2 linked regions of the Coturnix japonica genome follow. The main gene of each other region encodes a partner of the protein of the gene in region 2 in a complex. Links are inferred from orthologs where the notes say so. Each region holds a gene or a part of one and is shown on either strand. Other genes may lie near its edges.

The links. Proteins that work in one complex are often made in the same cells at the same time.
Region 1: the proteins of BCAR1 (region 2) and SH2D3C are in contact, whole or in part, in a crystal structure (PDB 3T6G), measured with the Homo sapiens proteins. The link is inferred for Coturnix japonica from reciprocal best matches to the Homo sapiens genes BCAR1 and SH2D3C. Residues at the interface, in NP_055382.2 of Homo sapiens: Ser739, Gln742, Phe746, Tyr747, Gln750, Asn754, Val779, Ser782, Lys783, Ile786, Leu787, His790, Val793, Phe794, Ile795, Asp797, Thr798, Arg801, Gln802, Ser816, Asn817, Cys820, Leu823, Arg824, Val827, Lys831; in NP_733745.1 of Homo sapiens: Thr543, Val544, Pro545, Val547, Gly616, Val617, Arg618, Glu622, Thr625, Leu626, Pro627, His628, Leu749, Leu752, Leu753, His771, Gly772, Val773, Glu774, Val776, Leu777, Leu780, Glu781, Ala783, Arg784, Ala787, His788.

The regions. Positions count from the first base shown.
Region 1 is NC_029532.1:3,665,070-3,670,037, forward strand, and holds part of SH2D3C (SH2 domain-containing protein 3C), read left to right. Parts: intron 1-4,059; coding exon 4,060-4,188; intron 4,189-4,320; coding exon 4,321-4,769; intron 4,770-4,968. UniProt on the Homo sapiens protein: Acts as an adapter protein that mediates cell signaling pathways involved in cellular functions such as cell adhesion and migration, tissue organization, and the regulation of the immune response.
Region 2 is NC_029526.1:680,853-686,265, forward strand, and holds the start of BCAR1 (breast cancer anti-estrogen resistance protein 1), read left to right. Parts: upstream 1-1,957; 5' UTR 1,958-1,989; coding exon 1,990-3,342; intron 3,343-3,875; coding exon 3,876-4,025; intron 4,026-4,171; coding exon 4,172-4,279; intron 4,280-4,472; coding exon 4,473-5,413. UniProt on the Homo sapiens protein: Docking protein which plays a central coordinating role for tyrosine kinase-based signaling related to cell adhesion. Implicated in induction of cell migration and cell branching. Involved in the BCAR3-mediated inhibition of TGFB signaling.

The sequences.
Region 1 (4,968 bases), on a different chromosome or scaffold from region 2:
GGTGCCTGGCCTTCATGCAGGGATGCGGGAGGGGATGGAGGGCACTCCATCCCAGCCACAGAAACAGTTACAAGTGAAGCCCTAAGTGCTCACCTGGCCCTGCCAGATCCTTCACCATCTATTTGTGTCCAAGTGTGCCCAGCAAACACACACTGAAGTCCCCATGAATGACTGGAGCGCTTCCAGCTGACAGCCGCATCCCTGCTCGCCGCCAATGGCAGTGCACCCAGCCTGGGAAGCACTGACATCATTTCTGGCCAATAGCAGCTCTGAAAAGGGATGCAGCAGCAGCAGCCACCGCCGTCTCAGAGTGAGATAAGTAATATAGAGATGGATGGAAATGTGTGTACACACACACCCCATACCGCACCAGAGACCTGCTCCTCTAGGACAGCACTGCACCACCCCATAGCATGAGCAGGAGCAGCCGTCCTACCTTGCAGCATCCCAATGTACCCAGCCACCCCACCCCTGTCAGCCAGACATCACTGCTCCAGAGCTGCCACAAAGGAGACCCTTTGGATGGCTGGGACCACTCCTAAGAAAGGCTTTGTGCACCAGAACAGCTCCTCAGTCTGTGTGCTTTCATTGGGGAGCAGTGGAGACATGGCATAGCCAAGAGCTGCCTCCAGCAACCCATGAGATGGGCATGAGCCTTCTCAGAGTCTATTTAAACACCCAGAGTCATTGCAAGACAGTATGGAGGGAAAAACTATTTCTCTTCCATAGGGACATCAAGATCAGTGAGATTAACTGCATGCAGGTGAGGAGCAACCCCATGAATACCTGATTCTTCCCTTGCTCAGGGTGGGCTGTCCATCCTCAGGCACACAGGCAGGTCAGGCAGCACTGGGCAGACTGGTGAACACAGCAGCCTTTGCATCAGGCAAGTAGAGCAGTGCTCAGCTTTGCTATGGTGCTGGCTGCCGAAACAAGGATGTTTGTTTTAAAACCCCTTGCTGTGAAGTAGCCCATTGCCTGATGCAGGGCTAAGCAGAGAAGAAAGGCGCTTTGGTGACTCTGAGGCTTTGCCCATACACCTGCTCCAAGTGGCTTCCCTCCTAGTTCTGCTTCCCAGGCCCCACATCTGCTCCAGCAGCAGGAGTTGGGTGTTTGAAGAGCAACAGTAAGGTCTGGGATTTCCCCAGCAAGGGTCCCATTGTGGGGCAGGCAGCAGGAGAGTGAGAGCAGCTGCACGTTGTGCCCTGAGGATAACCAGGAGATGTTATCGCAGGGTGGGGTGGGTGCACATACACCTTGCTCTCCATGCTGACTTCAGCTGCTTCAGGTCCGGGAGGGGGGAGCTGGAAGCAGGCTGCAAATCACTCCTGTTTCATAAGAGCAGCTTTGCAAGGAGAAAAAGCCAAGTGCCAGATTTTGGAGCTTTGCTCACACCAGGCAGAGCCACTGTTTTACACAGAACACAGCTGTCAGCACCCTCCACCCCCCAGCTCTTGCCCTTTGGCTGCCAATTCTAGTCCATAGCTGCGATCAAAGGTGCTTCCTATGCCGAGAAAGCAGCAGGTAGAGGAAAAGAGGAGAGCAGGGATGGAGAACCCAGGGAATCCCCTCCTGTACCTGCAGACCATGAAGCAGCCTGCCTGCTGCTGGGTGTGATGGAGGAGCTCTCCTTTCACCAGCCACACCACCTTGGCTACTGGTTGGGATTCCTCAGGCAAAGTTTGGCACCATCTCTGGCAGCTCCTGAGCTGGTTTGGCTGGTTTGGGGAACCGCTCTCACCCCTGTTCCATCCCACTCAGCAGGAGGAAGCCTTAGGGCTCTGAGCAGGCAGCCAGCATAATATGCTTGAGCTGGGCGCTAGTGGAAGTCGGGGATTTTCTCCACAGCCAGCCCTCTAGCATGCAAGATCTCACATCAGGCTGAACATCTTTTGATGTCCTCTTGGCACAGCAGAGAGCACCAAGTGGTGCCCTTTTCAGCTTGGTGCTCACACATCCGCTTACACACTGCTGACAGCACCGGGCCGGCCGCCTTGTCGTGCCAGCTGGCAGCCACACACAGCCTCCTCCGAGACACAGCATGGAGCAGAGCAGCACGAAGCCAATGTAAAGCACGAGGACAGCCCCCAGAGTGCCAGCATACCAAAGAAGTGGGCTCTCCATGCATCGGGGTCCTGGTTGGAGTGGTTGCAGTCACCAAGCGATGGCTTTTTGATGGCTGTAAATGTTGGATTGGAGCTCATTTCCCAGCCAAGCAGCTGAAGGGACGATGCTTAGGGTCCTTCTGCTCACAGCTGTCCTCAGTGCCCCAACTCAGGGCACAAAGCCCTGTGTGCCTCTCCCCAGCTCAGCACCCAGCTCCTGGCACAGCTGCCAGCTGACTGCTGCCCAAATCCCGGCTTGGAGACACCGGGTACTGCTCAGCTGGGTTTGTGTTTGTTATCTTATGCATTTGCATGGGGAGGATTTGGGGGGAAACCCAGATGTACAGCATAGAGCAGAGCGGATGCTAATCCCCTTGCTGGGGGCGTTAGACCCCAGCTCCCATGCAGGCAGCAGCCCGGTGCTTGGGGACAGCAGTGCTGCAGCACAGGGCACCCATGGCCGCTCACACCAAGCAAAGTATTGTCATGGAAACGGCATCTGCTTCAGCCTCAGCCCCCCAAGATGCAGCCAGACTATAGCAGCGTTCACCGGCGACCACTTATTATCCATAGGGTTCAGCAGTGCCACATGGCTTTGTCTCCTCCAGGGCCCCAGGGCAGTGGAGGTGCTCAGGAATATGTGACCCGTGTGTCTCATCCCTGCAGCTCCAGCAAGCAGAACCCTCCTTTGGGGAGGAACTGAGGCCAGAGGAGCACTCAGGAGTTTATTCACTTTCACTTCCACTGTCTGAGTATTTATTTATTTCTTTAACTCGTTAGCAGTTTGGAAGGGAGGAACAGAGGCAGGTCCAGGCTGGTGAGGGCAAGCCTTGGAGAGTTTAGGCCACCACACTGTTGTTCCCCCACCTCCTCCTCCCACCTCCCCAGGCTGGAGCCTCGTCCCTGGGATTGCTGCCCAACTTGGCTGATATACACAGCTCCAGGCTGGGGAGGTTACCAGGCAGAGGGGACAAAAGCTGCTGAGGGACTCAGTGAGTCCCAGGAGTGGAGGGCACAGGCTGGGGGAGCAGCATTCTGTGCTACGAGAAGCATAGAGAGACCGGCTCAGGGCACAGGACAAGGTGCAAAGAGTCTGAGGCTGAAGCCCCTGGTGCTCCAGGAAACAATACAAAGGCAGCTTCAAGACCCGGCCTGTTCTCACAGACACCAGCGGTGCTACCCTAACAAGCACCATGGAGCCAAGGAGCTGGAGCCACTGAGCCACCTGAGCTCACACAAGCAATATCAGCATGGATGACAGCATGCATCAAAGGGGCTGCCAGCACAACAGGACACCCCAGTAGCTCCAGCCAAGCTGCTGTGCTAGTTGCACACACATCCCCCTCTGACACATGTCCTGCCCTCTGGGAATGCCCCCACCGTGGTGGCAGAGAGCAGTGGCCCGATGGAGAGGTGACGCAATCCTTATCTCTCCAGGGAAGGGGAGGAGGGGAAATTGCATCCTCCAGGCTCAGGTGCACCAGTGCTGGTAAGAGCTCATTTCGATGCAGAAGGTTTCCTTTACATTTGTCATTACTATTCATGCTGCTGTCAGGCTAAACACAGCTGAGTTAACCCTTTGGAGGGAGATGTCTCTAGGAGGAGGAACAACATGGGTTTCCTCCTGGAGAAGTGCTTCCCACAGCGTTTCAGCCCAGGATGTGCTGGGCAAGGAGCTGGGGCAGGCGTCCGTCCTCAGGGACAGGTCTGCTCCTGGTAGGTGACATCAGGAACGTCCCCCCCTGAGAGATCCCTGCAGTCCCAGCACATGGGACTCACCAGCACCCAAGGGACAGTCCTTCCCTTCCCAGTCCCTGCAGCCAGTGTACACAGTGGATGTGGAAGGTGCTGGCAGTGGGAAGGATAAGGGACAGCATCCCTTGGACCCTGCAGGGAAGTGGCTGTGCTGCTTATGGCAAAACCCCAGCTGATGGTTTCTCTCTTTGCTGTACAGTTCTCCAAGGAGAAATACATCCTTGACTCATCACCAGAGAAGCTTCACAAGGAGCTGGAAGAGGAGCTGAAGCTGAGCAGCACCGACCTGCGCAGCCACGCGTGGTACCACGGCCGCATCCCACGGGAGGTGAGGATGGGGAGGGGGGGCTGCCTGGGTTTGCCACAGGGAAACTCCTGAAACTCACAGCCATGATGAGGGGGATGCCCTAAATAACAGCCAGCGGGGCCGTGTCTGAGCCATTGCCCCATCCCCATCCAGGTCTCAGAGAGTCTCGTGCAGAGGAACGGCGACTTCCTCATCCGCGACTCGCTCACCAGTTTGGGTGACTACGTGCTGACGTGCCGCTGGCGCAATGAGCCCCTCCACTTCAAGATCAACAAGGTGACAGTGAAGTCCAGCGACGGCCGGAGCCGTGTCCAGTACCTCTTTGAGCAGGAGAGCTTTGACAACGTGCCCGCCCTCGTCCGCTTCTACGTGGGCAACCGCAAGGCCATCTCCGAACAGAGCGGGGCCATCGTCTACTGCCCCATCAACCGCACCTTCCCCCTGCGCTACCTGGAGGCCAGCTATGGGCTTGCCAATGGGAAACACGGGGGGTCCCACAGCCCGGCCTCCCAGAAGGGGGGGCACATCAAGAGGAGGAGCATCACCATGACAGATGGGCTGACGGCCGACAAGATCACCAGGGCTGAAGGGTGCTCCACCAGGTGGGTGCAGGGGATTGGTCCTAAGGATGAGGCAGGAGCAGGGTTTGGGGGTGGAAGCAGCCACAGTGCAGGCATGGAAACCAGCAGAGGCACAGGGAGAGGAGCCAGGACCCAGCTGGAACTGGAGTTTTCTCCCAGGCTGGCTGCCAGCCATGCTGAGCCACAGCAGCAGTGCACAGCGAGCACACAGCTTGGCATC
Region 2 (5,413 bases):
GCGTCCTGCATGTTTCCTCGCTTGGATCATGTGTTTCTTGCCTCCCTTTCCTGAAGATGAAGAGTGATTTACAGGGCTCCAGAAAACACAGCTTGGCTGCCTAGGAACTGGGGGAGAAAAAACTGGGGGAGGAAAAAAAGGGATAAAGCGTTGGAGAGAAGCCCTCTGTTGGCTATTGGCACCACCTGCCCGCAGAGGGCCTGGCCCACAGCCCCCAACTGCATCCCCTTGAATGGCCGCCGTGTCCCCGTGGGCTGGGAGCAGTTTGGGCACTGCTGAACGGCCCCTTGTGCTCGGCCCCAAACAAGGCTGCCATTGTGTGCGCCTGCCCCACGGCTCCGCTGTGGGGTCCCGTGTGGGATCCATCCCATCCTCCCCATTGTGCGGCTGCAGAGAACGGGAACGTGGCTGTTTTCTCCCCGGACGAGCTGTGGGTCGTGGCAGGACATGGGCAGCCCTTTGGGCTGTATCTGCAGCCTGACAAAACATCTCTGCCCCTGGAAAGGCGAGGGGATAAAGCCCCGTTGTGATCCTGTTGGGTCCCGTGATATTACAAGCCAACGGGAATGTCCTCATTATTTCCCCAATATTGAAGTCTAATAAATCCCCGGCTGCCTTACAGGATTTATTTATCCGTTCATTGCTAGGAGACTCAGTGCCGTGTAATCCTATTGCTGCTGCGGGGGGCGGGAGGCAGCTTTCCCAAGGATGGAGCCGCGAGGAAGCAGCCAAAAGCCAGAAGCCAAAAGCTGTGTGGGTCCGTGTGGGTCCATGTGGGTCCGTGTGGGTCCGTGTGGGTCCATGCGGGGCCTCTGCTCCACCGGGCAGCTTCAGCCCCACGCAGGGCACAGTGCCACCCCTCCCACATGTGATGGTCCCACAGAGCTGTGCCCCACTGTGTGCTGGGCTCACTGACATGTCATGGGATCATTGAATCGCAGAATGGTTCGAGTGGGAAGGATCCTAAAGGCGTCCTGCACTGAGCAGGGACACTCACAGCTCCATCAGTGCTCACAGCCCCATTCTCTGACCTTGGCTGTGTGCAGGGATGGGGCAGCACCAGCTCTGTGTGCAGCCTGTGCCACTGCCTCACCGCCCTGACTGTAAAGAACCTCTAACTTAGCTCCGGTCTGAAGCTCCCTCTGTTAGTTTGAAGCCATTTCTTGTGCCGTCAGTGAGCAGCCCGTCCCCATACACACGGCACACAGCTCCGGGGTCCCGCAGCCTTTAGTTTCCGTTTGGGCACCGACCTCCCGGGGCTGCTGCAGCACGGGGCGCTCCCCCGGGCACGTCCCGGCTGTGTTGCCGCCCGTTGAGGTGCCCGTGCCCGGGGCTGGCCCCGCAATCACCGCCGAGCGGAAGCCGCCGAGTTCCGCCTGCGGTCTGCGGACGATACCGCAGCTCCGCCGGCCCCGAGGGAGCGGACGAACGGCTGCGGGGCGGCATCGCGGGCTCGACGGGCAGCGCCCGACCGGCCTCGTGCCTCCCACGGGCAGGAAGAGCCCTACAAGGGCCGGGGAGCCCCGACGGGCGGCGATAGGACCGCGGCCCCGGCCCCGCGCCCCCCCCCCCCCCCCCCCCCCCCCCCCCCCCCCCCCCCCCCCCCCCCCCCCCCCCCCCCCCCCCCCCCCCCCCCCCCCCCCCCCCCCCCCCCCCCCCCGCTCCCCTCCCCTGCCGGCCCCCAGCGCGGCCCCGCTCCCTCCCGCTCCTCCCGCCGCAGCGCCGCCTCCCGTCGGTGCGTCGCGGCCCATGGGCGGGGCGGGGCGGTCGGGCCCGTGCTGGCACGGCGCTGGAATGATCCCTCCGGCGCGGCCGCCGCCGCCGCCACCGCCATCCCGGTTCCGGCCGCCCGCCGCGGGCCGCGCCTCTCGGACACGCAGTAGCGCCGCTCGTTGAGCGCCGCGGGGCCGCGCCCGCCAGGCGAAGATGAACTACCTGGTGAGCGGGGTCACCTTGCGGGACGGAGCGGGGGGCGGCGGGGGCGGGCGGATGGGGCCGGGCCGGGAGCGGCGGTCGGAGCGGATCCGTGATCAGCCGGGGACCGAGCGCCGGGAGCGGGGCCCGTCGGGTGGGGAAGGGCCGGACGGGGCCTCCGGGACCGAGCGCGGCCGTCACCGACCCGACCCGACCCAGCCCCCTCCGGCCACGGGGTCGGCGCTGCCCGCCCGGTCCGGGCACGGCTCGTCCCGCGGGGGGCGGGGGGCGCTGCCATTGCGGGGCTGCGCAGCGCTGCCGGCACCGCGGGATCCACCCGAGCGCGGCGGCAGGAGGAAGGACAGCGGGGGAGGGAGGGGGCACCGAGCGGGGCAACGCGGCATCACCGGCGGGACGGGCCGGCAGCGGGACGGACACACGGACACGGACACACACACGCGTGTCCCTGTGCCCGCCCGGCGGCCGGGGGGGAATTCTCGGTGCGGGCTGAGTCACCTCCATGGCACTTCCTCCCCGGCGGGAAGGGGAGGGAAAGGCAGAGGAGGTCCCCGACACCGGGAGGCGCGGGGGGTCCGGCCCCGTCCCGGCGCCGGCTCCGGGACGGGTGGGTTGAACCGGGACGAGGAGGAGCAGCGCCGGGGCCGCGTCGGGTGCCGGGCGCCCTTGGTGCCGCCGAGTCCATCCGCGATGAGTCCCGACCCGGCCCGTTGCGGGGCTCTCTTGCAGAACGTGCTGGCCAAAGCGCTGTACGACAATGTGGCCGAGTCCCCGGACGAGCTCTCCTTCCGCAAAGGCGACATCATGACGGTGCTGGAGCGCAACACGCAGGGCCTGGACGGCTGGTGGCTCTGCTCGCTGCACGGCCGGCAGGGCATCGTGCCGGGGAACCGCCTCAAGATCCTGGTGGGGATGTACGACAAGAAGCAGCAGCAGCAGCAGCAGGCGGCCGGGCCGGGGCAGGGCCAGGCACCGCCAGCACCACAGCCCACGTTGCCGTACCACCACCAAGGGGGGTACACGCCGCTGTCGCCCGCCTCGCAGTACACCGCCATGCACCCCTCCTACGCGCCACAAGGGGACAACGTCTACTTGATGCCGGTTCCTGGCAAGGGGCAGCAGGGCCTGTACTCGGGCTCGGCACCCGCTGGACAGTTTCCCCCGGCTCCGGCCAAGCAGCCCCCATCCTACCCCAAGCAAACGCCGCCCCACGGCTTCCCCAGCGCCGGGCAGGACATCTACCAGGTGCCGCCGTCCCTGAGCCAGGCGGTGGACGCTTTCCCTGCGGGCTCTGCCAGCCCCCCCCAGGACATTTACCAGGTCCCTCCCTCGGCTCAGGCTCAAGACATCTACCAAGTGCCCCCATCTTTGGATGCGAGGAGCTGGGAAGGGCCCAAGCCCTCTGGAAAGGTAGGATGGGGGTCCAGGTACGGCGGTGGGTTGATGCTGTGGGGCTCCAGTCTGTTGTGGGGTTATGGAGGGGGGGAGTGAAGCGCTTTTGGCTGAGATGAGCTGCGTTTCCCTGGAAGATCCAGTGGGAAAAAGGGGACACTGAGCACCGTGCCTCGTGGGCAGGGCACCCCATTGATTGCGAGCATCCCACAACCTCCTATGGCTGCCGCACCACATTGCACCGAGATGCGGGTGGGGGTCTGGGCTCGTCCTCCATCGCTGGGTCCCTCGGTGCCACAATTAACCTTCAGGTCTCCATTCTCATCGCACAGGGCGGCCGTGCGGCCGGGCTTTGTCTGTAGCCGAGGCTGGCTGCTATAAATAACCGGTGATCTCATCTCCGTCCCTCCAGCGTCACTGCACGGAGCGGTGACAGCTCCAGGCCGGACGGGGAGCGCCCTCGCGTGGGCACCCACCGCACGGTGCTCCCAGATGGGCTCGGGGGGCAGCAGCGGGGGGTGCGCCAGGCTCAGCCCTGCCCTCTCTCGTAGGTGCTGCTGCCCACCCGCGTGGGGCAGGCGTACGTCTATGACTCCCCCAAGGCTGAGAAGGATGAATACGACTTTCCCCGCCACCTGCTCTCCTCGGGCTCACAGGAGATCTACGATGTGCCACCTGCACGCGGTGCATTACCCAGCCAGGTCAGCAGGGATGTGGGGCTGCATGTGGGGCTGTGGGGTGATGGGCTGCAGGGATGCGGCACCCAGTGCTGGGCTGAGCCGTGGTCTCCACTGTGTGTGTGCTGGGGCCACTCTCCTGCCCCTCACACCATCCCATCTCTTCCCAGCAGGTCTATGACACTCCCCCCATGGCGGTCAAGGGTCCCAATGGGCAGGACCCAGGGCAGGAGATCTACGACGTGCCCCCCAGCGTGGAGAAGAACCTGCACCAAACCGTAAGTGCCGCAGGGGAAGCTCATGCACCAAAAGAGACACGTGAGGGTGGTGGTGCTGCAGGATTGCGCTGTGCACCTCTCCTTCCACGAGCCCACTGCACGCCCAGAGCTGTTCTTATGGGCACAGGGGAGCGGGGCTGGTGTGCATGTGTGTCTCCAGCTGCACTGACACTACGTGGTGGTGCCCTTGCAGGTATATGACGTGCCACCCTCCGTCAGCAAGGACGTGCCAGACGGCCCTGTGCGGGAGGAGACGTACGACGTGCCCCCCGCCTTCTCCAAGCAGAAAGCCTTCGAGCCCCCCCGCCACCCCCCGGTGCTCTCCCAGCAGGATTCCTACCTGCCAGAGGATGTCTACGACGTGCCACCAGCGGCTGGGAAAGCCGCCCCCGAGCCCTCGTTGTCCCACGAGATCTATGACGTGCCTCCCAGCCTCAAGAAGCTGGGGGGGTCGGCCTTCCCCTTGCAGGAGGTGTACGATGTGCCGCGGGACCTGCACGCCCCCAGCAAGGGCTCGATGGACATGGAGGGTGAGTACATCTACGATGTCCCACCACAGGTGGACCGCGAGGCCAAGGCAGCTGACACCAAGCGTCTCTCGGCCTCCAGCACGGGCAGCACCCGCAGCAACATCTCCACCTCCTCACTGGACACTGTGCCCGTAAAGGAGCCGGCCAAAGGAGCCGGCAGGGAGTTCTCCCTGGACTTGGATGCTGCCATGGAGATGCTGGCCAAGCTCCAGCTCGGCGTCAGCGGTGCCGTCTCCAGCCTCATGTCCTTCATCAGCACCAACTGGCGCAGCCCCGAGCACATGGAAGCCAATGCTGCCGGCATCCGCCTGGCAGCCGAGGGTGTTCAAACAGCCCTCAGGGAGCTGCTGGAGTTTGCCCGGGGGGCAGTGGGCAACGCTGCCCAGGCCTCGGACCGCTCACTGTACGCCAAGCTCAGCAAGCAGCTGCAGAAGATGGAGGAGGTCTACCAGGCCCTGGGGCGGCACAGCCAGGCGCTGGATGCATGTCACTGGGCTCCCAGTGCCTTGGTGGCTGGCAAACCGGGCACGGACGACTTGGAGCTGTTCGTCATGTACTCGCGTGGTGTGCCCGATGACACCAAGCAGCTCGCCTCCTTCCTGCA